4 linked regions of the Arabidopsis thaliana genome follow. The protein of the gene in region 1 binds, or shares a complex with, the protein of each later gene. Each region holds a gene or a part of one and is shown in the gene's direction. Other genes may lie near its edges. The genes, in order: TOC75-IV, TOC132, TOC120 and TOC34.

Region 1 (4,193 bases):
TCAGTCTTACAAATGCAAACTCTCGTTTTACTTTGAAGGGCTTGAGTATCAACTTGGGGATTTTCGTTTGAGAGTTGGTAAAGTTGTTCCTACTCATGCTGAGACCATTAGAGGCGTAGTCATGGAGGTAACAAATTTTATATCTTTTGAGTACGTTGAGATATATTAATAATCAATGTTAATGATTATCTAACACTCTAGTTAATTCATAATTTGGAGTTTGTAATGTAACTCAGTAACTAAAGGTTATTAGCTATGATTGGTAACACACATAATGACGGTTTCTAATGTGATTAGGCAGAAAATTTGTCAATTAAGAAAATTTGCATAATCTACGGTTTTCCATGCAACAAGTTTTCATTATACGAATTTTTAGTGCTATCAACTTATGCCATTATGCTATTATGCACTACTTTCATTTGAAACCTATAATTATGTGTGTGTACTATTTAGGTGGAGTATCTTCCTATATCATCAATGGGAATGGCAAAAAAATTGATGGAGGAGTTCTTGGAGATATGGCAAGAAGCTATGTCGAAAAGGTCGTTGCCGGGTAAGTTTGTGAACAAAGAACTCAACTTTGAAAAGTTTGGACTTGGAGACAACTACACTCCGCAACATACCGCTGTTGGATATGCTTTCTTCATGGCTAATTTGATGGCAGCAATTCAAGCTGGGAGAGGCTAAAGATAATACAACAAAGACTTTTATGAGTTTTTGTGGTATCATTGATTTTAGAAGTCATTAAGGATTGAAAAACAAATGGTAGTTTTAAAAAGTTGGAAGACCAATTTGTAAACTTGAGATTGGAGCAGATTGTGAATTCAGTTTCTTACCAACTTTTTGGTTTGTTTTATGACTGTGAAAACTTTATGAATCTTTTGACCCTAAACTCAATTACTGGTCACTTGTGTCTATAAAATGCATAAATAAAGCGAAAATGTTGGATTACGATTGGGCTTAGTGTTAGTTATTTGGGTCAGTCATTGAGTTGGGCTTAAGGCCCATAAATGAGAAGAATCCCAAATGCAGAATCAAAACGCAAAGAAGTTTTGGCGGTTGCGATTGCATGTTTTCTTCCAAACAGAGCTTACCGGTAGTAACAAACAATATAGAGAGAAAGAAGTGTGAGAGCTACAAGTTTGAAGAAATCGAGTAGAGAGAGAGACAGATCTAGATTCTTCTTCTTCTTCGTCTTCTTCGTCAACCTCTAGAAGACTCGTGTAGGTACGTAGCTTTGAATCTCTTCTTCTGTAACCTGAAATTTTGTTAATTCCTCTTGAGAGTGAAGCATTATCGAGTTTGATCTTCGAGAAATTGTACATAAATCGCTTGTTTCTCTCGTGTTCTTTCTTTGTACTGATTTCAAAACTTGAATCGCAAAGAACAAGCGATAAGATCAAAATCAACTACCAAAATCACTACAGAGAGCTATTTTTCTTTGGATTTTGGTTTTAAACATGTGTTTGATTACGATTCCAGACTGAAATTTGTATCTGAGTCAGTGGATTTTTTGGTGTTGCCTTGTTGATTCGTTCACGTTGTAGTAGTAGATTTCAGAATTTTGCTTTCGTTGCTTTGAGTTTAGCTTAGGATTTGGCTTTTAACAGAGTTTCTATTTGAGTAGAATTGTAAAATAGAATTTGATGTCTGCCAAGTGTTTGATGAAATTCCTCTGAGAAATGAACCTTAAGTTATTCTAGTGTGTATTAATGGATTTCTTCTTTGTTGTTCAGGTTATTGTGATGGAAGCTGTGAAGGAAGCTGTGAGGAAGATTAAGTCCTTAGTCATACCACATGCAGATGAGAAAGATAATGGTATTGTTTTTGAGATCAAGCTTAATGAGACAGATCAGAGAGTAGAAAAGTGGGGTCTTGATCCTTCTTTGGTATGTATTGTCTTCTACTAAACTTGGCAACTTTTTTATGTTATAAGAGTTTTCTATTGAATTTACTATGTCCTTCGTTTGATTATCTTGCATTATTAGGATTTTTTCGAGGTAACAGGGAACTGTAATTTGGGACGTCCAAATAGCGAGGGATCTAATCAGTCTCTCATGGGTTCTGTGACCATTAGGAACATCTTTAATCCTAAGCTGGTACACTTGTTTTTACATATGCTTCTGATACCTATCTAGTTTATTTTGTAGTTTGATATTTTGATCCTTTAATACGCTTGGTTTTCTCTTAGGATGATCTTTTGTCTAAGATTGAGTATGTACGGTTTCTGGAAGCTGTTAAAAAACCTAGAAACCGTACCTTCAAAACGAGCTTCTTCAATAGCAGAAAACTTAGCCCAGTGTTCACTGGAGGACCAGGCTATGAGGATCTAGTGCCTCCAATGTTTGTGGGTCGAGATTGTCTTAAAGCTACTATAACTGAGGTAACCAAGTCTCCTATATATATAGATAGTCAACTTGTAATCATCTCTCACAAGCACCTTTTTTTTCACGTCCAGAACTTAACCCGTCAGAGAGAACTCACATATGGAGTTATGTTTGAAGAGATAATAACCCGAGATGAAAACAGGCGAATCTCTGAAAATGGGCTCTTGTTATCGCCTGACGGTGGAATCAGTATTAATGGACCTCCAACAACTCTAAGTGGTACCGGTATTGACCACATTGCCACTCTACAAGCCAACATAACCCGAGACAACACCAAGCTAGTGAATGGGGCTGTTGTTGGAGAGAAGAATATCTTTCAGGTTTTGTATCAAATCCCTTGATGTTGGTGTTTTTAACTAAATTAGAGCTTTAATAGTGTACTAACACAAATCGCAGGTGGATCAAGGCTTAGGTATAGGAAATAATTTTCCGCTCTTCAACCGCCACCAACTATCATTAACAAGTTTCATTCAGCTGAAGCAAGTAGAAGAAGGATCCGATAAACCACAACCACCAGTTCTAGTCCTCCATGGTCGTTACGGTGGCTGCATAGGCGATCTTCCAAGCTATGATGTTTTTGCTCTTGGTGGACCTAACTCCGTTCGAGGATACAGCATGGGAGAACTTGGTGCAGCTAAAAACATTCTCGAGGTTAAATATAATTACGAAAAACATGCTTTTGTTTTGGTCTTTCAGTTTATAAAATCTGATAATGCTAATTGTATATAGCTTTTTTTTGGTATGTTGCTAATTGTATATAGCTTGGTGCTGAGATTAGAATTCCTGTCAAGAACACACATGTGTATGCATTTGCTGAGCATGGAAACGATTTGGGAAGTTCAAAGGATGTGAAAGGGAATCCAACAGGGCTTTACAGGAAAATGGGACATGGTTCATCGTATGGTTTGGGTGTGAAACTCGGTATGGTGCGAGCTGAATATACTGTACGTCACAATCGTGGAACCGGTGCTCTGTTTCTCAGGTTCGGGGAGAGATACTAAGGTCATGCCATGAAGACTTTGTGCTGCTTTCTTTCTTAACTCTAATACTTTGGTTTATAATCCTGATACTCTAGTTATGTAAATGCGTGCATAGCAAGTCATTGAGTTTAGGCATTTGTTTAAAGCGATAGAAGAGAATAAGAACAAGCCGTTTCATGTCTCTCGTCACGACAGTAAATGTTTAGTTAGATTTGTTTTTGACTTTGAAGAAGTCTGTTCACTGTAGACGTAGAACACGTACTACATTTACTCATGCCCTCTCTATTAACTTGTTGATTACGCAAAACGACTTTTCCGACACTTATGACCTAGTCCTTATTGGTCCACTCGCATTTCTCGGATGTTTATGTCCTCTCAATGGGATGTGACGGACCAATAAGGTTTATTGTATTACATCTGGCCGGTTTGTGAAACACCGTCATATATCCGAAATGGTAACTTGTATATATTTTTACTGTATATAGAAGGTTCCAGATTTTTACCACTTGTTTGCGTAACTCTCTAGCTATTAATGTATTAAAGATTTTATTTAACAAAATAAAACTCAAAAGTCACGAGTTCTAATGTCGAAGGTTAAAAATAAACAATTTTACATATGTTGTGATCTCTTTGTGAGTTTATCTATTTCTGATTTTAATGGTTGTTAGAATTGCTTAAAACGACCAGTACTGCAAGTTGATATCTATTAAACCTTTGATGAGCTTATTGTTCTGGAATTATCAAGGATTGGGGTGGTCTCATGTATTATCAACCGTCTAAAGGAAATGCATAAAATACAGTTTAGAAAGTTTTTATTTCAATGGAG
Region 2 (7,043 bases), on another chromosome or scaffold:
TTCTGCGAGAAGTTGGAGGCTGAAAAGGGTTATGAGGTAGAAGAGCACATGGAAGCTGCAGGTATTGCATTGGAGGAGGCAGAGATATCGGCTTTGTTGAAGGTAAGTGCTGCCACGGGTCGAGAAAACAAGGTTTATAGATATTTACATAAGTTGAGGGAATATGTTGGCTGCGTTAGTGAAGAAACTTTGAAAATTATTGAGGAATGGTTCTGTGGAGAAAAAGCTGGTGAGGTTGGTGATAATGGAATTGGTTCTGATGTTGGGATGCTTAGAGAAGCTGTTTTGAATAATGGAGGTGGGTGGCACGGGCATGGGTGGGTTGGGGAGGGTAAATGGACTGTAAAGAAAGGTAATGTTAGCTCAACAGGAAGATGTTTGAGCTGCAGTGAGCAGTTAGCTTGTGTAGATACCAATGAGGTAGAAACACAGAAGTTTGTGGATTCTTTGGTGGCTTTGGCTATGGATAGGAAGACAAAGATGAATTCATGTGAGACAAATGTGGTCTTCAGCGAGTTTCAGGTTAGAGATGGGATTCTCTTAGCTTGGTTATAATAAGTCTTGGACATTAAATATTGCATGATAAGCATTTAGAGATAGGTACACTGGTTGGAGTTTTTGCTGCGAATTGTCATCAATCTTGAGTATTCAAATGTCGATATTTGTTGAATGTTGCTATCTTATTTGGCAGGACTGGCTTGAGAAACATGGAGATTACGAAGCTATAGTAGATGGAGCAAATATTGGGCTCTACCAACAAAATTTTGTAGATGGCAGTTTCAGTCTTTCACAGGTTCTCCCATCTTTTCTGGGGTACTTGTTTTTCTTCCTCCATATTTTTAGAATCCATTCCTTGCTATACTGATATCACATACATGTGGGATAGAGCAGCTTGAATCTGTGATGAAGGAACTTTACCGTGAAAGTGGTAATAACAAATGGCCCCTAATTCTATTGCACAAGAGACGGGTCAAGACGCTTTTAGAAAACCCAACTCACCGGAATCTGGTTGAAGAATGGATTAGTAACGGTGTCCTGTATGCAACTCCACCAGGTTCCAATGATGATTGGTATGAACTTTTAGCTTCTCTCAGCACCATTATTTCGACAAAAAACACAAACAATGTTTGGTTACTACACTCATCTTTTGTTTTTTTTACCTTTCCAGGTATTGGCTGTATGCTGCTGCTAAGCTCAAGTGTTTGCTTGTGACAAATGATGAGATGAGAGACCACATTTTTGAACTCTTAGGGAGTACTTTTTTCCAAAAGTGGAAAGAAAGACATCAGGTAAAGTTATATAAACTTATATACAATATGTAACTTTTTATACTAAAAGTGCAACTTTGAGAAGTCTACAATTAGAACATTTGGTTTATGGTTTTGGTACAGGTCCGGTATACTTTTGTGAAAGGTAACCTGAAGCTTGAAATGCCGTCTCCTTTTTCGGTTGTCATTCAGGTTTGTTTACCATCTCAGTCCTTTTTTTCTCCGGTTTCGATAGTTTCTCAATTACGTTTCGACAAAATCAGGAATCAGAGAAAGGGTCATGGCATTTCCCGGTCTCATGCGAAAACAATGAAGAGTCTTCAAGAACTTGGATGTGTATTAGCAGACAAAGTATTTTAGATTCACCTAAGAGTAATGGGAAGATTCCTTAGTAGCTGCACCAGCTTATTGAGTTCATGTATCATTTGTTATGAGTTTTCATTCTTTGTCCTTTGAAGATTAACACAAAAAACGTTCATTGGTTCTATAATAAGGGACTGAACTTTTCTCATTAGAAAGAACACAAAAAATTGTAGTAGACCAAACCGAATCAGACCGGGTTGGTTAAACCGAATTGACGCACGAGGGTTTTCTATTCCCTTTCACGGCTTCACTCACTCTACTTTATATAGTCCACGTCAGCATCATTTCACGATTGCATCAACGAGTCATTATCAACCGTACGATGCTTAAACCCAAACTGATCAGGACCGTTGATGAACGTCTCTTATCTCCTTCCCCGTCGTAGTCGCAGGCTCGCAGCCGGTAAAGCGCATGAAAGGATCTTCACACTTTTTCACCTTCTCTCTATTTCTCTCTCTCTCTCTCTCTCTCTATCTCTAACTTCTGGTAAGGCTTCTCTCCATTTCTCTTCTTCTTTCTTCGTCTTCTTTCTTCTGTTTTGGTTTTCGTTTCCTGTAATCAACAAAGTTCTTCTTCCATGTTTGGAGATCCCTATCACCGCTTAGACCTGTGTTTAAGCGATTTGGTTAACTTCAATTGAATTTTAGTTTCTGGAATTGGTAAGGGATAAGGATTCTAGGATTCGTGGTGATTAACTCTGATCTAGGTTTCTTTTAGCTGTGTGCTCGTTTTTTTTTTTTTTTGGTTGTTGGAATTTATATTGATGGTTAAAGCGTAGTTGGTAATTGGAGTGATTTCTGATCTCTGATTATTGTATTTGTGGCTTTTGTTTCCCGTAGCGGTGGTGATCTAGAAAATGGGAGATGGGACTGAGTTTGTGGTTAGGTCAGATAGGGAAGATAAGAAGCTTGCTGAGGATAGAATTAGTGATGAGCAAGTAGTGAAGAATGAGTTGGTGAGATCTGATGAAGTAAGGGATGATAACGAGGACGAGGTTTTTGAGGAAGCGATTGGTTCAGAGAATGATGAGCAGGAGGAGGAGGAGGATCCAAAACGTGAATTGTTTGAATCTGATGATTTGCCTTTAGTGGAAACTCTTAAAAGTTCTATGGTTGAGCATGAAGTGGAGGATTTTGAAGAGGCAGTGGGTGATTTGGATGAAACGAGTAGCAATGAAGGGGGTGTTAAAGATTTTACGGCTGTTGGAGAGAGCCATGGTGCGGGAGAGGCTGAATTTGATGTTTTGGCTACTAAAATGAATGGTGATAAGGGGGAAGGAGGTGGAGGTGGTTCTTATGATAAAGTTGAATCGAGCTTGGATGTTGTTGATACCACTGAGAATGCTACATCAACTAATACTAATGGTTCCAATTTAGCAGCTGAGCATGTGGGTATTGAAAACGGAAAGACTCATTCTTTTTTGGGAAATGGAATCGCCTCTCCTAAAAATAAAGAAGTGGTGGCTGAAGTTATCCCTAAAGATGATGGGATTGAGGAACCATGGAATGATGGCATTGAAGTCGATAATTGGGAGGAAAGAGTTGATGGCATACAGACAGAACAAGAGGTTGAGGAAGGTGAAGGAACAACTGAAAATCAATTTGAGAAACGGACAGAAGAAGAGGTTGTAGAAGGTGAAGGAACAAGTAAGAATCTATTTGAGAAACAGACAGAACAAGATGTTGTGGAAGGTGAAGGAACAAGTAAGGATCTATTTGAGAATGGTTCAGTATGTATGGACAGTGAGTCCGAGGCAGAAAGAAATGGTGAGACTGGTGCCGCCTACACAAGTAATATCGTTACTAATGCTTCAGGTGACAATGAAGTATCAAGTGCTGTGACTTCATCTCCATTGGAGGAATCTAGTTCCGGGGAAAAGGGAGAGACTGAAGGGGACAGTACTTGTTTAAAACCAGAGCAACACTTGGCTTCTTCGCCGCACTCATATCCTGAGTCAACTGAAGTTCACAGCAATAGTGGCTCCCCTGGGGTAACTAGTAGAGAACACAAACCAGTTCAAAGTGCTAATGGAGGACATGATGTTCAGAGTCCTCAACCAAATAAGGAGCTTGAGAAGCAGCAAAGCAGCAGAGTACATGTAGATCCAGAGATTACAGAAAATTCACATGTGGAAACAGAACCTGAGGTAGTAAGTTCTGTTTCACCAACAGAGTCTAGAAGTAATCCTGCGGCATTACCACCTGCTCGTCCAGCAGGTCTTGGTCGTGCTTCTCCTCTTTTGGAACCTGCATCACGTGCTCCTCAACAGTCTCGCGTCAATGGGAATGGGTCTCACAATCAGTTTCAGCAAGCTGAAGACTCTACCACTACAGAGGCTGATGAGCATGATGAGACCCGCGAGAAGCTCCAGTTGATCAGGGTAAAATTTTTGAGGCTTGCACATAGACTAGGGCAAACCCCGCATAATGTTGTTGTTGCTCAGGTTTTATACAGGCTTGGATTGGCTGAGCAGTTGAGGGGCAGAAATGGAAGCCGTGTTGGTGCTTTTAGTTTTGATCGCGCTAGTGCCATGGCAGAACAGCTTGAGGCTGCTGGACAGGATCCACTTGATTTTTCTTGTACGATTATGGTTCTCGGAAAAAGTGGGGTTGGTAAAAGTGCAACGATCAATTCTATATTTGATGAAGTGAAATTTTGTACTGATGCATTCCAGATGGGGACAAAGAGGGTTCAAGATGTTGAGGGTTTGGTTCAGGGAATTAAGGTACGGGTGATTGACACTCCCGGTCTCTTACCTTCCTGGTCTGATCAAGCCAAGAATGAGAAGATCCTGAATTCTGTTAAGGCTTTCATCAAGAAGAATCCACCTGACATTGTACTATATCTTGATAGGTTGGATATGCAAAGCAGAGATTCTGGTGACATGCCTCTCCTGCGCACCATAAGTGATGTTTTTGGTCCTTCGATATGGTTTAATGCCATTGTGGGTTTGACTCATGCCGCTTCTGTTCCACCAGATGGCCCAAATGGCACTGCTTCTAGCTATGATATGTTTGTTACACAACGTTCTCATGTCATCCAGCAGGCCATTCGCCAAGCAGCTGGAGATATGAGGCTCATGAACCCTGTTTCTTTAGTTGAGAATCACTCAGCTTGCAGGACTAATCGGGCAGGCCAGAGAGTATTACCGAATGGCCAAGTGTGGAAGCCACATTTGTTGCTACTCTCATTTGCATCTAAGATTCTAGCAGAAGCAAATGCTCTTTTGAAGTTGCAAGATAATATTCCAGGGAGACCATTTGCAGCTCGGTCCAAGGCTCCGCCATTACCATTTCTCCTTTCATCGCTTCTGCAATCAAGACCACAACCTAAGCTTCCTGAACAGCAGTATGGTGATGAAGAAGATGAAGATGATTTAGAAGAATCATCAGATTCAGACGAAGAATCAGAGTATGATCAGCTTCCTCCGTTTAAGAGTTTGACTAAAGCTCAGATGGCTACGCTTAGTAAATCTCAGAAGAAGCAGTATCTCGATGAAATGGAGTACCGAGAGAAACTTTTAATGAAGAAGCAAATGAAAGAGGAAAGAAAGAGACGTAAGATGTTTAAGAAATTTGCTGCAGAGATTAAAGATTTGCCTGATGGGTATAGTGAAAATGTGGAAGAGGAGAGTGGTGGACCTGCATCAGTTCCAGTTCCTATGCCAGATTTATCTCTACCTGCGTCTTTTGACTCTGATAACCCTACTCACCGCTACCGGTACCTTGATTCCTCCAATCAGTGGCTTGTTAGGCCAGTCCTGGAAACTCATGGGTGGGATCATGATATTGGTTATGAAGGTGTGAATGCAGAACGGCTCTTTGTTGTAAAAGAAAAAATACCAATATCTGTCTCAGGTCAAGTGACAAAAGACAAGAAGGATGCAAATGTGCAGCTAGAAATGGCCAGCTCGGTTAAACATGGAGAGGGTAAATCAACTTCCCTAGGTTTCGACATGCAAACTGTTGGAAAGGAATTGGCTTATACTCTTCGAAGCGAAACGAGATTTAACAATTTCAGGAGAAACAAGGCTGCAGCTGGTCTTTCTGTAACACACTTGGGTGATTCGGTTTCTGCGGGGTTGAAAGTCGAAGATAAGTTTATTGCTAGTAAATGGTTCAGAATCGTAATGTCTGGTGGAGCTATGACTAGTCGGGGAGATTTTGCTTATGGTGGTACTTTGGAAGCTCAGTTGAGAGATAAAGATTATCCGCTTGGTCGGTTTTTGACTACTCTTGGACTTTCTGTAATGGATTGGCACGGTGATCTTGCTATTGGAGGGAACATACAGTCTCAGGTTCCCATTGGACGTTCCTCTAATTTAATTGCTCGTGCTAATCTGAACAATAGAGGAGCAGGGCAAGTAAGTGTTCGTGTTAACAGCTCCGAGCAGCTCCAACTTGCTATGGTTGCGATTGTTCCTCTCTTCAAGAAGCTACTTAGTTATTATTACCCGCAAACGCAATATGGACAATGATTAAGAAACATTTAGGCTGATTTCACTTCCATCCCTTTGCACTGGAGTATTAGGAATCGATTAGTCACAAGAACATGTTAGAGTGAGTTGAAAAGGTACACAATCTGATCTCTATATCTTACTGTGATTACTGATTTCGATATTTTCGTTTTCTTGGAAACCCTCTTAATGGATTTTGCTGAGCGTTGATGTGCTTTGGTTTTGAACAGGATCTGTCTGGTAGCAAGAGACCAATTGTTGGAGGAAAGTTTGTGTCTTGAAATAGCCAGAACATAACACGTTCCTTGTCTGATATATAATAGCTCAGTGGTTTGTTTTTCTTCTATTTCTAAGACCTTGTGATCTCCCTTATGAATGAAGCATATCTACTTTTGTTCATGTCCCTCTCCAATCATTGATGCATTATATCATAACAACATTTAGTGCTCACAGTGCTAGAACGTTAGGCTTTGTAACAACTAAGTTTAATGCCGAGTATAAATAGGGATACAATAATAGTCCATAAATTCTCCAATGAATCCAGGTATAGACTTTTATAGTATTACAAAAGGACCCAAGAACAATGTAAAAGAGAAAGAAAGAGTGTAGAGTATATAAGTATTGAAAACACATTCAATCAATTGCAGACTGTGAATCTGCAGGTCCCGGAATTAGCCTTGATGAAACGAATAGCAGTCATGAGGACATCGTGTTCCGAATTCCCGAGGAGAGCCAGATTGGTATATGTGATCACAGCGACGGAATTATAAGGAAATCCTAGAGAGTTGTATGAATTGAGCAATGCAGTTGTTGCCTCTCTTAGAAGTGTCTTATAGGCTTCTCCTCGCCCGTCAAGCGCTTCTCGTACTGTCATATCTGTGCCGTATATTCTCCCGGCTACTAGCCCAAATGCAACTGCGACCTTTGTGTCTGGACCTATCGCCCTCCAGTAGCAT
Region 3 (6,216 bases), on another chromosome or scaffold:
GGATTGAAGGCGCAGAAATCAACAAGAGTCTCTTGGCTCTTAAGGAATGTATACGTGCACTGGACAATGACCAGCTACATATACCATTTCGTGGAAGCAAACTAACGGAAGTGCTCCGTGACTCATTTGTTGGAAACTCAAGAACGGTGATGATTTCCTGCATCTCTCCAAATGCAGGATCGTGTGAACATACCCTCAATACTCTAAGATATGCTGATCGGTATGTTTTGTACAAACTATAGCCTCTTGTGAAACAAATTCTCAATTTCATCGTCTATTAACCTCTGTTGGTTATGTATGGAATAAACAGAGTCAAAAGTCTATCTAAAAGTGGAAATAGCAAGAAAGATCAAACTGCGAATTCAATGCCTCCGGTTAATAAGGATCCTTTGTTGGGCCCAAATGATGTAGAAGATGTCTTTGAGCCTCCACAGGAAGTGAATGTACCAGAAACCAGGAGGAGGGTGGTCGAGAAGGACAGCAACAGCAGTACGTCGGGTATTGACTTCAGACAGCCTACAAATTATCGAGAGGAAAGTGGAATCCCATCATTCTCAATGGACAAGGGAAGATCAGAGCCGAACAGTTCTTTTGCTGGCTCCACTAGTCAGAGAAACAACATTTCTTCATATCCCCAAGAAACTTCAGACCGTGAAGAGAAAGTAAAGAAAGTGTCACCACCTCGTGGGAAAGGGTTGCGGGAAGAAAAACCAGACAGACCACAAAATTGGTCTAAAAGAGATGTCAGTTCGTCGGATATCCCTACCTTGACAAATTTTAGACAGAACGCAAGTGAAACTGCTTCAAGGCAATATGAAACCGCTTCAAGGCAATATGAAACCGACCCTTCGCTTGATGAAAACCTCGATGCACTGCTTGAGGTAAAGTACTCACCTATCCCTTTAAAACATGAGATGAAGCTGTGAATTTGATTTGCAAGTAACGGTAGTTCTGTTTATGTCTTATCGTAACCATCACATGACTTTTTTCAGGAAGAAGAAGCTCTGATTGCAGCGCACAGAAAAGAAATTGAGGATACAATGGAGATTGTTCGCGAGGTATGTAAATCACATCATTGCAGCGCACAAAAAACGATTGTAGAATGTTATCACATCATTCAATTTTCTTTTCTGTTATATCATTATCAGGAAATGAAACTTCTAGCGGAGGTGGACCAACCGGGAAGCATGATAGAAAACTATGTGACGCAACTGAGCTTTGTGTTGTCCCGGAAAGCAGCAGGGCTAGTCAGTCTTCAAGCCAGGCTTGCTCGGTTCCAACACCGTCTCAAGGAACAAGAAATACTGAGCCGTAAGAGAGTTCCTCGGTAGTTGGTAGAAGAAGGAAAACCAAAAGTGTGGTGTTGTTTAAGTGTGAAAGGTTGGTTGGGTGATCTCTTCTTATATATGACAAAGAATGACAGAAATGTCCTTCATGTTTGTGAATTTGGGCATTTCTTTCCTTTTATTTTTGAATCTTTATTATAAAGTTATACCTTTTGTGTTTCTTATTTTTCTCTTCTCCTCTATCCTCCCAGAAAGCTGGATACTGTCAATGTGAATCAAACTCTTTTATCAATCAACTGAAAAAGTATAAAACCATTTATCATCTGAAAATGTTTCAAAATTTGGTGAGCCATATATAAAATCAAATTTCTAACAATTAATAAGATCTTCAAATACCATCTATATAGTGACAACCAATGAAAAGACAGTTGAATAGCTCCAAAAGAACAAATAAAGCAATTCTCTCTTGTCGTAAAGATAAAATGGCCAACAAGATTATGCAGCCCAACTAAAAAGGCCTTGGCCCACACTTTACTATTGATCACGTGACATGCCTTTTTCACGATTGCAATATAAGAGCCATTTTCCACCGTCCGATGTTAAAACCCAAACCGATTTAAACCGTCCATGAAAGTCGCTTATCTCCTTCTCCTTCCCGTCGTAGTCGCACTGTCGCAGGCGAGTAAAAGGCGATTTATACAAATACAAAAAAAGCGCATGAAGTTGTTTTTTTTTCTTTCCAGACTTTTGCCTTCTCTAACCAGGTTAGATTCTCGCCATCACTTTTTCTCCTCAATATCAATAGATTCTTCTTTGTATTTTCTGAATTCCTATGAGCAAAATATACCTACGATTTGGAAAATATTAGTTTCACTCCCATTTAATTTAGTGTCTTGTGGATTTAAAAGTAACGAGGATACAAAATTTGGTTGGTGCAGTGTTTCGTGATTTTGGGTGATCCTAGAAATGGGAGATGGGGCTGAGATTGTAACCAGGTTATATGGGGATGAGAAGAAGCTTGCAGAGGATGGTAGAATTAGTGAGTTGGTGGGATCTGATGAAGTGAAGGATAATGAAGAAGAGGTCTTTGAGGAAGCAATTGGTTCGCAGGAGGGTCTAAAACCTGAATCTCTCAAAACCGATGTGTTGCAAGAGGATTTTCCTTTAGCTTCCAATGATGAAGTGTGTGATTTGGAAGAAACAAGTAGAAATGAGAGAGGAGTAGAAAATTTAAAGGTTAATTATTCGGAGATTGGAGAGAGCCATGGTGAGGTTAACGAGCAATGTATAACTACGAAAGAGGCTGATTCTGATTTGGTGACTCTCAAAATGAATGATTATGATCACGGGGAAGTAGCAGATGCAGATATTTCTTATGGTAAAATGGCATCAAGCTTGGATGTGGTTGAGAACAGTGAGAAAGCTACTTCCAATTTAGCTACTGAGGATGTGAATTTGGAAAACGGAAATACACATTCTTCTTCAGAAAATGGAGTAGTCTCTCCTGATGAGAATAAAGAACTGGTGGCGGAAGTTATCTCAGTAAGTGCCTGTTCCGTGGAAACAGGGAGTAATGGTATTGACGACGAAAAATGGGAGGAAGAAATTGATGTATCAGCTGGCATGGTAACAGAACAAAGAAATGGTAAGACTGGTGCTGAGTTCAATAGTGTTAAAATTGTTTCAGGTGACAAATCCTTGAATGATAGTATTGAAGTAGCAGCTGGGACCTTATCTCCATTGGAAAAATCTAGTTCGGAGGAGAAGGGAGAGACTGAAAGTCAAAACAGTAATGGAGGACATGATATTCAATCTAATAAGGAAATTGTAAAGCAGCAAGATAGCAGTGTAAATATAGGTCCAGAGATTAAGGAAAGCCAACATATGGAAAGAGAATCTGAGGTATTAAGTTCTGTTTCACCAACAGAGTCTAGAAGTGATACTGCAGCATTACCACCTGCTCGCCCAGCAGGTCTTGGTCGTGCTGCTCCACTTTTGGAACCTGCACCACGCGTTACACAACAGCCTCGTGTCAATGGAAATGTGTCTCACAATCAGCCTCAGCAAGCTGAAGACTCTACCACTGCAGAGACAGATGAGCATGATGAGACCCGTGAGAAGCTCCAGTTTATCAGGGTCAAATTTTTGAGGCTTTCACATAGATTAGGGCAAACTCCACATAATGTTGTTGTTGCTCAGGTTTTGTACAGGCTTGGATTGGCTGAACAGTTGAGGGGCAGAAACGGAAGCCGTGTTGGTGCCTTTAGTTTTGATCGTGCCAGTGCCATGGCAGAACAGCTTGAGGCAGCTGCACAAGATCCCCTTGATTTTTCTTGTACGATTATGGTGCTTGGTAAAAGTGGGGTTGGTAAAAGTGCAACCATCAATTCTATTTTTGATGAACTGAAAATTAGTACTGATGCATTCCAGGTGGGGACAAAGAAGGTTCAGGATATTGAGGGTTTTGTTCAGGGAATTAAGGTACGGGTAATTGACACTCCCGGTCTCTTACCATCCTGGTCAGATCAACACAAGAATGAGAAGATCCTGAAGTCTGTTAGGGCATTCATCAAGAAAAGTCCGCCTGACATTGTGTTATATCTTGATAGGTTGGATATGCAAAGCAGAGATTCTGGTGACATGCCTCTCTTACGCACCATCACTGATGTTTTTGGACCATCAATATGGTTTAATGCCATTGTGGGTTTGACTCATGCCGCTTCGGCTCCACCAGATGGCCCAAATGGTACTGCTTCTAGCTATGACATGTTTGTGACACAACGTTCTCATGTCATCCAGCAGGCCATTCGCCAAGCAGCGGGAGATATGAGGCTCATGAACCCTGTTTCTTTAGTTGAGAACCACTCTGCTTGCAGGACAAATCGGGCAGGCCAGAGAGTATTACCTAATGGCCAAGTGTGGAAGCCTCATTTGTTATTACTCTCATTTGCATCCAAGATTCTTGCCGAAGCAAATGCTCTTCTGAAATTACAAGATAATATTCCAGGGGGACAATTTGCAACTCGGTCCAAGGCTCCGCCACTACCATTGCTCCTCTCATCGCTTCTGCAATCAAGACCACAAGCTAAGCTTCCTGAGCAACAGTACGATGATGAAGACGATGAAGATGATTTAGACGAATCATCAGATTCTGAGGAAGAATCAGAGTATGATGAGCTTCCTCCCTTTAAGCGGTTGACTAAAGCAGAGATGACTAAGCTTAGCAAATCTCAGAAGAAGGAATATCTCGATGAGATGGAGTATCGGGAGAAACTATTTATGAAGAGACAGATGAAAGAGGAAAGAAAGAGACGTAAGTTGTTGAAGAAATTTGCTGCTGAGATTAAAGATATGCCTAACGGGTATAGTGAAAATGTGGAAGAGGAGAGAAGTGAACCTGCATCTGTTCCAGTTCCAATGCCAGATTTATCTCTACCTGCATCTTTTGACTCTGACAATCCTACTCATCGGTACCGGTACCTTGATACCTCCAATCAATGGCTTGTTAGGCCAGTGCTGGAAACTCATGGGTGGGATCATGATATTGGTTATGAAGGTGTGAATGCGGAACGACTATTTGTTGTTAAAGACAAAATACCAGTATCTTTCTCTGGCCAAGTGACAAAGGACAAGAAGGATGCACATGTGCAGCTAGAATTGGCCAGCTCGGTTAAACATGGAGAAGGTAGATCAACTTCCCTAGGTTTTGACATGCAAAATGCTGGGAAGGAATTAGCGTACACTATTCGAAGTGAAACAAGATTTAACAAGTTTAGGAAAAACAAAGCAGCAGCTGGTCTCTCTGTTACGCTCTTAGGTGATTCAGTTTCCGCGGGACTAAAAGTCGAAGATAAGTTGATTGCTAATAAACGGTTCAGGATGGTTATGTCAGGTGGAGCAATGACTAGTCGTGGAGATGTTGCTTATGGTGGTACTTTAGAAGCTCAGTTTCGAGATAAAGATTATCCGCTTGGTCGGTTTTTATCAACTCTTGGACTCTCTGTGATGGATTGGCATGGCGATCTTGCTATCGGAGGGAATATACAGTCTCAAGTACCCATTGGACGTTCCTCTAATCTCATTGCTCGTGCTAATCTGAATAACAGAGGAGCAGGGCAAGTAAGCATCCGCGTAAACAGCTCTGAGCAGCTTCAACTTGCTGTGGTTGCACTTGTTCCTCTGTTCAAGAAGCTTCTTACTTATTATTCCCCTGAGCAAATGCAATATGGACACTGATGAGTAACATTTAACTGTTTTGATTTTTTCTTGAAACATGTTTTTCTTTTTTTAGTTGTCGGAATTCACTTTTGTTTTAAGTCTTTGATGTTTGGTTGTAACATATGTCTGAAACTTAAAATCCATTATCCCAATGTTTCTAAGTCTTCTTGAAACCTGTATTCGCTCAAGGAATCTGGTCTTAGGTCAGGTCATTCATCAGCATCTTCTTAAACGCTCTCTTACGTTAAGTTCCTCTACAGTGCTCGTCAATTTAACACGTCTTTACGCATCATGCAATGAAGTGGAACTTGCACGCCATGTGTTCGATGAAATTCCTCATCCAAGGATCAATCCTATTGCTTGGGATTTGATGATCAGAGCCTATGCTTCGAATGATTTCGCGGAAAAAGCTTTGGATTTGTACTACAAGATGCTGAATTCTGGTGTTAGACCCACGAAATATACGTACCCGTTTGTTTTGAAAGCATGTGCTGGTCTTCGAGCAATTGACGATGGTAAGCTGATACATAGTCATGTGAATTGTAGCGACTTTGCAACTGATATGTATGTATGTACTGCTCTGGTTGATTTCTATGCTAAGTGTGGGGAACTTGAGATGGCTATAAAGGTGTTCGACGAAATGCCTAAGAGAGATATGGTTGCTTGGAATGCTATGATTTCTGGGTTTTCTTTACATTGCTGTTTAACTGAT
Region 4 (4,737 bases), on another chromosome or scaffold:
TATTGATAGGGTCGACATCTGAAATCATGCCAAACCCAGAACCACTTCCATAACCACCGCCGCCACCACTGGATATGCTCAATTCATTGAAACCACTTTCAAGTCTTCCAGATCCCATTGAACCCATGGACGAAAATCCTCCTGGCTTATTCTTTTCAATCTAGGAATTACATAAGAAATATTAATAGGAGTTACAGAAATAGAATACAACAGCAGGGTGCGCTCCTGTCATGTACCTTGCTTTTGTCAATCTCATTAGCCTTACGCTTCATCACGTCCTTAGTGTCATTGATCTTGCTCTGCATAACCAGTTTATGCAACTTCTCCTCATGACTTTCCATTTCACAATACTGCTTCACCTGGGCAACTGTCACACTTTCCTTGTGCCCAAGAGATATGACTTCATCAAATGCAAATATGAGCTCAAAAGATGCCCTGGAAATCCCTTCTTCATCTAAAGACATGGAATACTCAGGTACCTAGAAACAATCAAATGATCAAACAGCACTTGGAACACTCACTTTTCAAAAGAACTAAGAACCAGTACACATCCAGAGTCAAGGCAATAATCTCCTCAAATAAAGTAGCAGAAGTAAAAAAAAAAGAAAGAAAGAAAGAAAGAAGCATACAAGTTTGGAGAGCAAAGTAAGGGTGGCCAGGTCTTCTAGAATGTTACTCTGCTTAGTTGTAACAAGAAGCAGGAACAGAGCTTCAATAGGCTGATAAACATATCGCACATTCTCCGTCTCGATATAGGTATGCTGCTTTCCCATTCCAACCAGCTTAGGAAAAGCTGCAAGTAGACCTTCGATTCTGATACGGGACATATCCACATAGTGTCTGGAAACAATCACTACATAAAAAAGAAGAAAGTTAGAAAAAACGCAAAAATATTGAAAAACGAGAATTCGAAGACAAAGTCAAAGATAGATGAAAATAACCTTTCCCAGACTTGACCACAATGGCAGCAGCAAGCACAACCTATAAAGCACAGGTTCCAACTTTAGAAAACGCGCCAGACACTCATCAAACACTAAAGTTAACACCAAATTGCGAAGATGCACTAAAAAGGAAAAAGAAAAAAACCAATCATAGAACAAAAGTCAATACCATTTTGATTATTCAGGCTCGAACAATCTCGGCGATTATAAGAAAGGTAATGCGAATCTGAAATACAAAGAACCAATGTTAGAGTAAATCCAGTTAGAGCGAGATCAGAAGAAACAAACGGGATTTGATCTTCAGGATCATAAATCACGTAATAGAGGAAGAGATCTCGAATACACGAATCCAAACGAAACTAGACTAGCGAATCGAAAATATAAAAAGAATTCATCGCAGATCCAGCGGATCTACGAGCATCAGAGGCTCATAATCGAAAAACATAACTGTAGAATCAAAATCAACACAAGCGGATCAAATTCATGAAACAGGATCGCGAAATTTAGAAGGAGGAGAAAATTCTTAATAATGGAGATCCACAGAAATGTAGCCAGAGAGAACATTCATTCAAAGGAAAACGAAAATCATCACCATCAGTGAAGGCGAAGAGCGAGAGAACAAGACGATACCTTGGGAGTGATCGAAGGAGATGAAATCACCAGTTTCTTCTTCACAAGCTCGCCGAGTAAAAAAGATGAAACGAGTCTCAGATTAAATCCTGGTGTGTGTGTTAGAGAAAAGACGATCCACAAAACAAGGACAAGTAATCTGGGCCGTTTCAGTTCCTTATTGGGCTTTCCAACCCAGTAAATGGAAGAAAAAATGCCAAAAGGGCAAATTCGTCATTGGTGCAGACCGACGACATTCGGTTTAGTCCGGTTGAATTTTGAAAGGAATGTACTTTCATGTATTGAGATTTGTAGCAATCAATCATCTTCAAAAGTCAATTTCAGTTCTAGGGTTTTAATTTGATACGAGGTCAGCGAATCCGGCGACGAATATCCGCCACTAGTAACTCTAGCTCAGGTAGGTTACTCTCTCTCTCGTTTTCTTTCTTTATCTGGTTTTCACTTCGTCCACTTAGAAGTATGCTCATTTGATAAATTGGCATTTGACCCCAGTTCAGGATTTAGGATTCTGATTATCTCTCAATACTTGATTAGTTTAGTGCTTAAGTTATTAGTTTTTGGTATGCCCACTTGCGCCATGTTCGTTTCTAAAGCAATGAGATTATTTTCATTTAAAGATCTGGAAAAAAGAAACTAATGGAGACAACGGCAAATGAAGATGGATTTTAAGGGTTTTTGTTCTTAGTAAAAAAAAGTTATCTTCTTTTTAATTTTCTGAGACTTTAATTGCTAGAAAGTTATAGGATTGATTCAGATAGTGGAATCAGACAACTTTTTCTTTTATGGGCGATTACTCATTTTTGTTCTTTGGTCTTCTGATTGTTTAGTTTCTTAGCAGATGATTTAGTCTTCTCTTTTGTGATCCTTTTTTGCTTTCCTTGGAAGTGTAGGTAAGGATTTGTGTCCATGGCAGCTTTGCAAACGCTTCGTGAATGGATCGGTATCCAGCAGTTCCCACCTGCTACTCAATCTAAATTGCTCGAGATCCTTGGGAAGTATAAAGAAGAGGTTCCTTTCTTGTTTCTAGCTTCATCTGCTTTCTGTTTGTTTCTTCTTGTCTTAGAGAGATTTAAGAAAGAAAAAAAACTGGTGTAGGATGTGAGCTCGCTAACGGTCCTTGTAATGGGGAAAGGTGGTGTTGGAAAGTCATCAACTGTGAATTCAGTTATAGGCGAGAAAGCTGCTGCAGTTAGTACTTTCCAGGTGCCAAGTTTAATGCTCTTCTCATGGCTTGTCTTTATGACTATTGGCTATCTTTCTTTTAATTTTTCTCATAGAAAGTGTGTGATTTTCCCTCTTTATAGTCTGAAGGACTGAGGCCTACCTTGGTCTCTCGCACAAGATCGGGATTTACATTGAATATCATCGACACTCCTGGTCTTATTGAGGGAGGATATGTGAATGATCAAGCCATCAACATTATAAAACGGTATGATGAACTGTTTCCAGGTCTAAGGAGTTACTCTCCTAATTTGGGGCTCATTTGTGGCATTTGTATTAATTTGGATTCGTGGATGTTGAATTTGAACAGATTTCTCCTCAACATGACTATAGATGTGCTACTATACGTAGACCGTTTGGATGTGTACCGGGTGGATGACCTTGATAGGCAAGTTGTCGGTGCTATAACTGATGCATTTGGTAAAGAGATATGGAAGAAGTCTGCTCTTGTTCTCACCCATGCTCAGTTCTCTCCACCAGACGGGTTAAATTATAACCACTTTGTCTCCAAAAGATCTAATGCTCTTCTAAAAGTTATCCAGACAGGCGCTCAACTGAAGAAACAGGATTTGCAGGTATAGTTTTTTCCTCCTTACATAAATGTCTGTAACGACCTTGATAGTAGTCAAGTTAATAGACTCACTTACCTCTGATCTTTTATTGTAGGGTTTTTCTATTCCTGTCATTCTTGTTGAGAACAGCGGAAGATGCCATAAGAACGAAAGCGATGAAAAGGTCAGTTGATTGGTTTTGTCCACGTTCTCTTTTTCTCGCGTCTTGTAGTAGTTGGACCAATCTTGAAGTCGGATTTTCCAAATTTGTGACAGATTCTTCCATGCGGGACTAGTTGGATTCCCAATCTGTTCAACAAAATCACAGAGATCTCTTTTAATGGCAACAAGGCGATTCATGTTGACAAGAAACTGGTCGAAGGGCCAAACCCAAACGAAAGAGGAAAAAAACTGATTCCTTTAATGTTTGCATTCCAAGTAAGCCCCTCTGAACCATTCAGTAACAATACAGAATAAGGCTTGATCAAAACATCATGCATCATTTATTCATCTTTTGATGGTTTGAAAATGCAGTACTTGCTGGTGATGAAGCCATTGGTTCGAGCAATCAAGTCCGATGTTTCGAGAGAGAGTAAACCGGCGTGGGAGCTGCGAGACTCCGGTTTAGCAAGTCGAAGGTCTTGAGTTGTGGACACGAGTTTTGTTTGGTTTGTTTGTCTATCTGAGAGATTGTTCTGTAGTTGAAATTGTGATACAACTCGAGAAATGTGGTTCACAGATAATTACTGTCGCAAAGTTCTCTCATCTTAATTACATCTTCTTTAGCCTCTCGTAAATCGTAATTAAGAGCTACTCTCTTGGTGAAAATGATTAGAAGAGATAATTCCATTTTGTCATTAATGGTAAAAGTAACCGCTGCAGTTATTTTTGACGCGATGCAAGTTTTGAAATAAAATAAAAATTTGAGTTAAAGAAAAAAAAAACCGATGTTTAAAGGAGGAATTTGGCAAACGGAGAAGACGGTTCAGAGAAGATCGTTTACTCTTTCCTCAATTTCGAACAAAGTTTTCGAATTTTCCAACTCTCTCTAGTGAATTTAGGGTTCTGATTTCGACATTAGTGTAAAGATTTGTTTTTTATCCGAGGGGTGCGATTGTGTAGTCAAACCAGATCAAATGTCGGCATCAACGGTGTCGATCACCGCTAATACGGCGGCAGCGACTAGACGGACGCCGATTCTTGCCGGAGAGAAAAAATCAAACTTTGATTACCCTCAAAGCGAATCGCTTGCGAACGGTGGTGTTGGGGAAGCCGGTGGTACGAGTAGAGATCTGAGCCGCGGTGAAGCTACCCTTGATCGATCTCAGGGACAAGATTTGGGTCCTGTGACGAGAAGGTCTGTTTCCGCTGCGACGGGGACTAATACCACCGCT

What was found.
Region 2: TOC75-IV (region 1) and TOC132 share a complex: the UniProt entries of both Arabidopsis thaliana proteins name them as parts of the TOC core complex.
Region 3: TOC75-IV (region 1) and TOC120 share a complex: the UniProt entries of both Arabidopsis thaliana proteins name them as parts of the TOC core complex.
Region 4: TOC75-IV (region 1) and TOC34 share a complex: the UniProt entries of both Arabidopsis thaliana proteins name them as parts of the TOC core complex.

Annotation. Positions count from the first base shown.
Region 1 is NC_003075.7:5,802,706-5,806,898, forward strand, and holds TOC75-IV (Outer membrane OMP85 family protein), read left to right. Parts: upstream 1-1,683; 5' UTR 1,684-1,712; coding exon 1,713-1,889; intron 1,890-1,936; exon of another isoform or gene 1,937-1,988; coding exon 1,989-2,099; intron 2,100-2,191; coding exon 2,192-2,383; intron 2,384-2,458; coding exon 2,459-2,707; intron 2,708-2,783; coding exon 2,784-3,038; intron 3,039-3,148; coding exon 3,149-3,388; 3' UTR 3,389-3,650; downstream 3,651-4,193. Other genes in the region: AT4G09070 (TATA-binding related factor (TRF) of subunit 20 of Mediator complex), read left to right, coding at 1-127, 454-687. UniProt on the Arabidopsis thaliana protein: Mediates the insertion of proteins targeted to the outer membrane of chloroplasts. Required for the import of protein precursors into chloroplasts.
Region 2 is NC_003071.7:7,210,554-7,217,596, reverse strand, and holds TOC132 (multimeric translocon complex in the outer envelope membrane 132), read left to right. Parts: upstream 1-1,979; 5' UTR 1,980-2,117; exon of another isoform or gene 2,118-2,470; 5' UTR 2,471-2,487; coding exon 2,488-6,108; 3' UTR 6,109-6,203; intron 6,204-6,317; 3' UTR 6,318-6,538; downstream 6,539-7,043. Other genes in the region: PRORP2 (proteinaceous RNase P 2), read left to right, coding at 1-522, 692-793, 892-1,070, 1,169-1,289, 1,392-1,460, 1,532-1,660; AT2G16630 (Pollen Ole e 1 allergen and extensin family protein), read right to left, coding at 6,725-7,043. UniProt on the Arabidopsis thaliana protein: GTPase involved in protein precursor import into chloroplasts. Seems to recognize chloroplast-destined precursor proteins and regulate their presentation to the translocation channel through GTP hydrolysis.
Region 3 is NC_003074.8:5,657,775-5,663,990, reverse strand, and holds TOC120 (translocon outer complex protein 120), read left to right. Parts: upstream 1-1,924; 5' UTR 1,925-2,050; intron 2,051-2,224; 5' UTR 2,225-2,252; coding exon 2,253-5,522; 3' UTR 5,523-5,655; downstream 5,656-6,216. Other genes in the region: KINESIN-13A (P-loop containing nucleoside triphosphate hydrolases superfamily protein), read left to right, coding at 2-220, 311-881, 993-1,058, 1,149-1,331; AT3G16610 (pentatricopeptide (PPR) repeat-containing protein), read left to right, coding at 5,656-6,216. UniProt on the Arabidopsis thaliana protein: GTPase involved in protein precursor import into chloroplasts. Seems to recognize chloroplast-destined precursor proteins and regulate their presentation to the translocation channel through GTP hydrolysis.
Region 4 is NC_003076.8:1,473,513-1,478,249, reverse strand, and holds TOC34 (translocon at the outer envelope membrane of chloroplasts 34), read left to right. Parts: upstream 1-1,815; 5' UTR 1,816-1,968; exon of another isoform or gene 1,969-2,461; 5' UTR 2,462-2,477; coding exon 2,478-2,579; intron 2,580-2,666; coding exon 2,667-2,774; intron 2,775-2,875; coding exon 2,876-3,000; intron 3,001-3,102; coding exon 3,103-3,367; intron 3,368-3,458; coding exon 3,459-3,527; intron 3,528-3,619; coding exon 3,620-3,781; intron 3,782-3,877; coding exon 3,878-3,988; 3' UTR 3,989-4,223; downstream 4,224-4,737. Other genes in the region: AT5G05010 (clathrin adaptor complexes medium subunit family protein), read right to left, coding at 1-160, 237-479, 630-853, 942-981, 1,111-1,113; SUN1 (SAD1/UNC-84 domain protein 1), read left to right, coding at 4,480-4,737. UniProt on the Arabidopsis thaliana protein: GTPase involved in protein precursor import into chloroplasts. Seems to recognize chloroplast-destined precursor proteins and regulate their presentation to the translocation channel through GTP hydrolysis.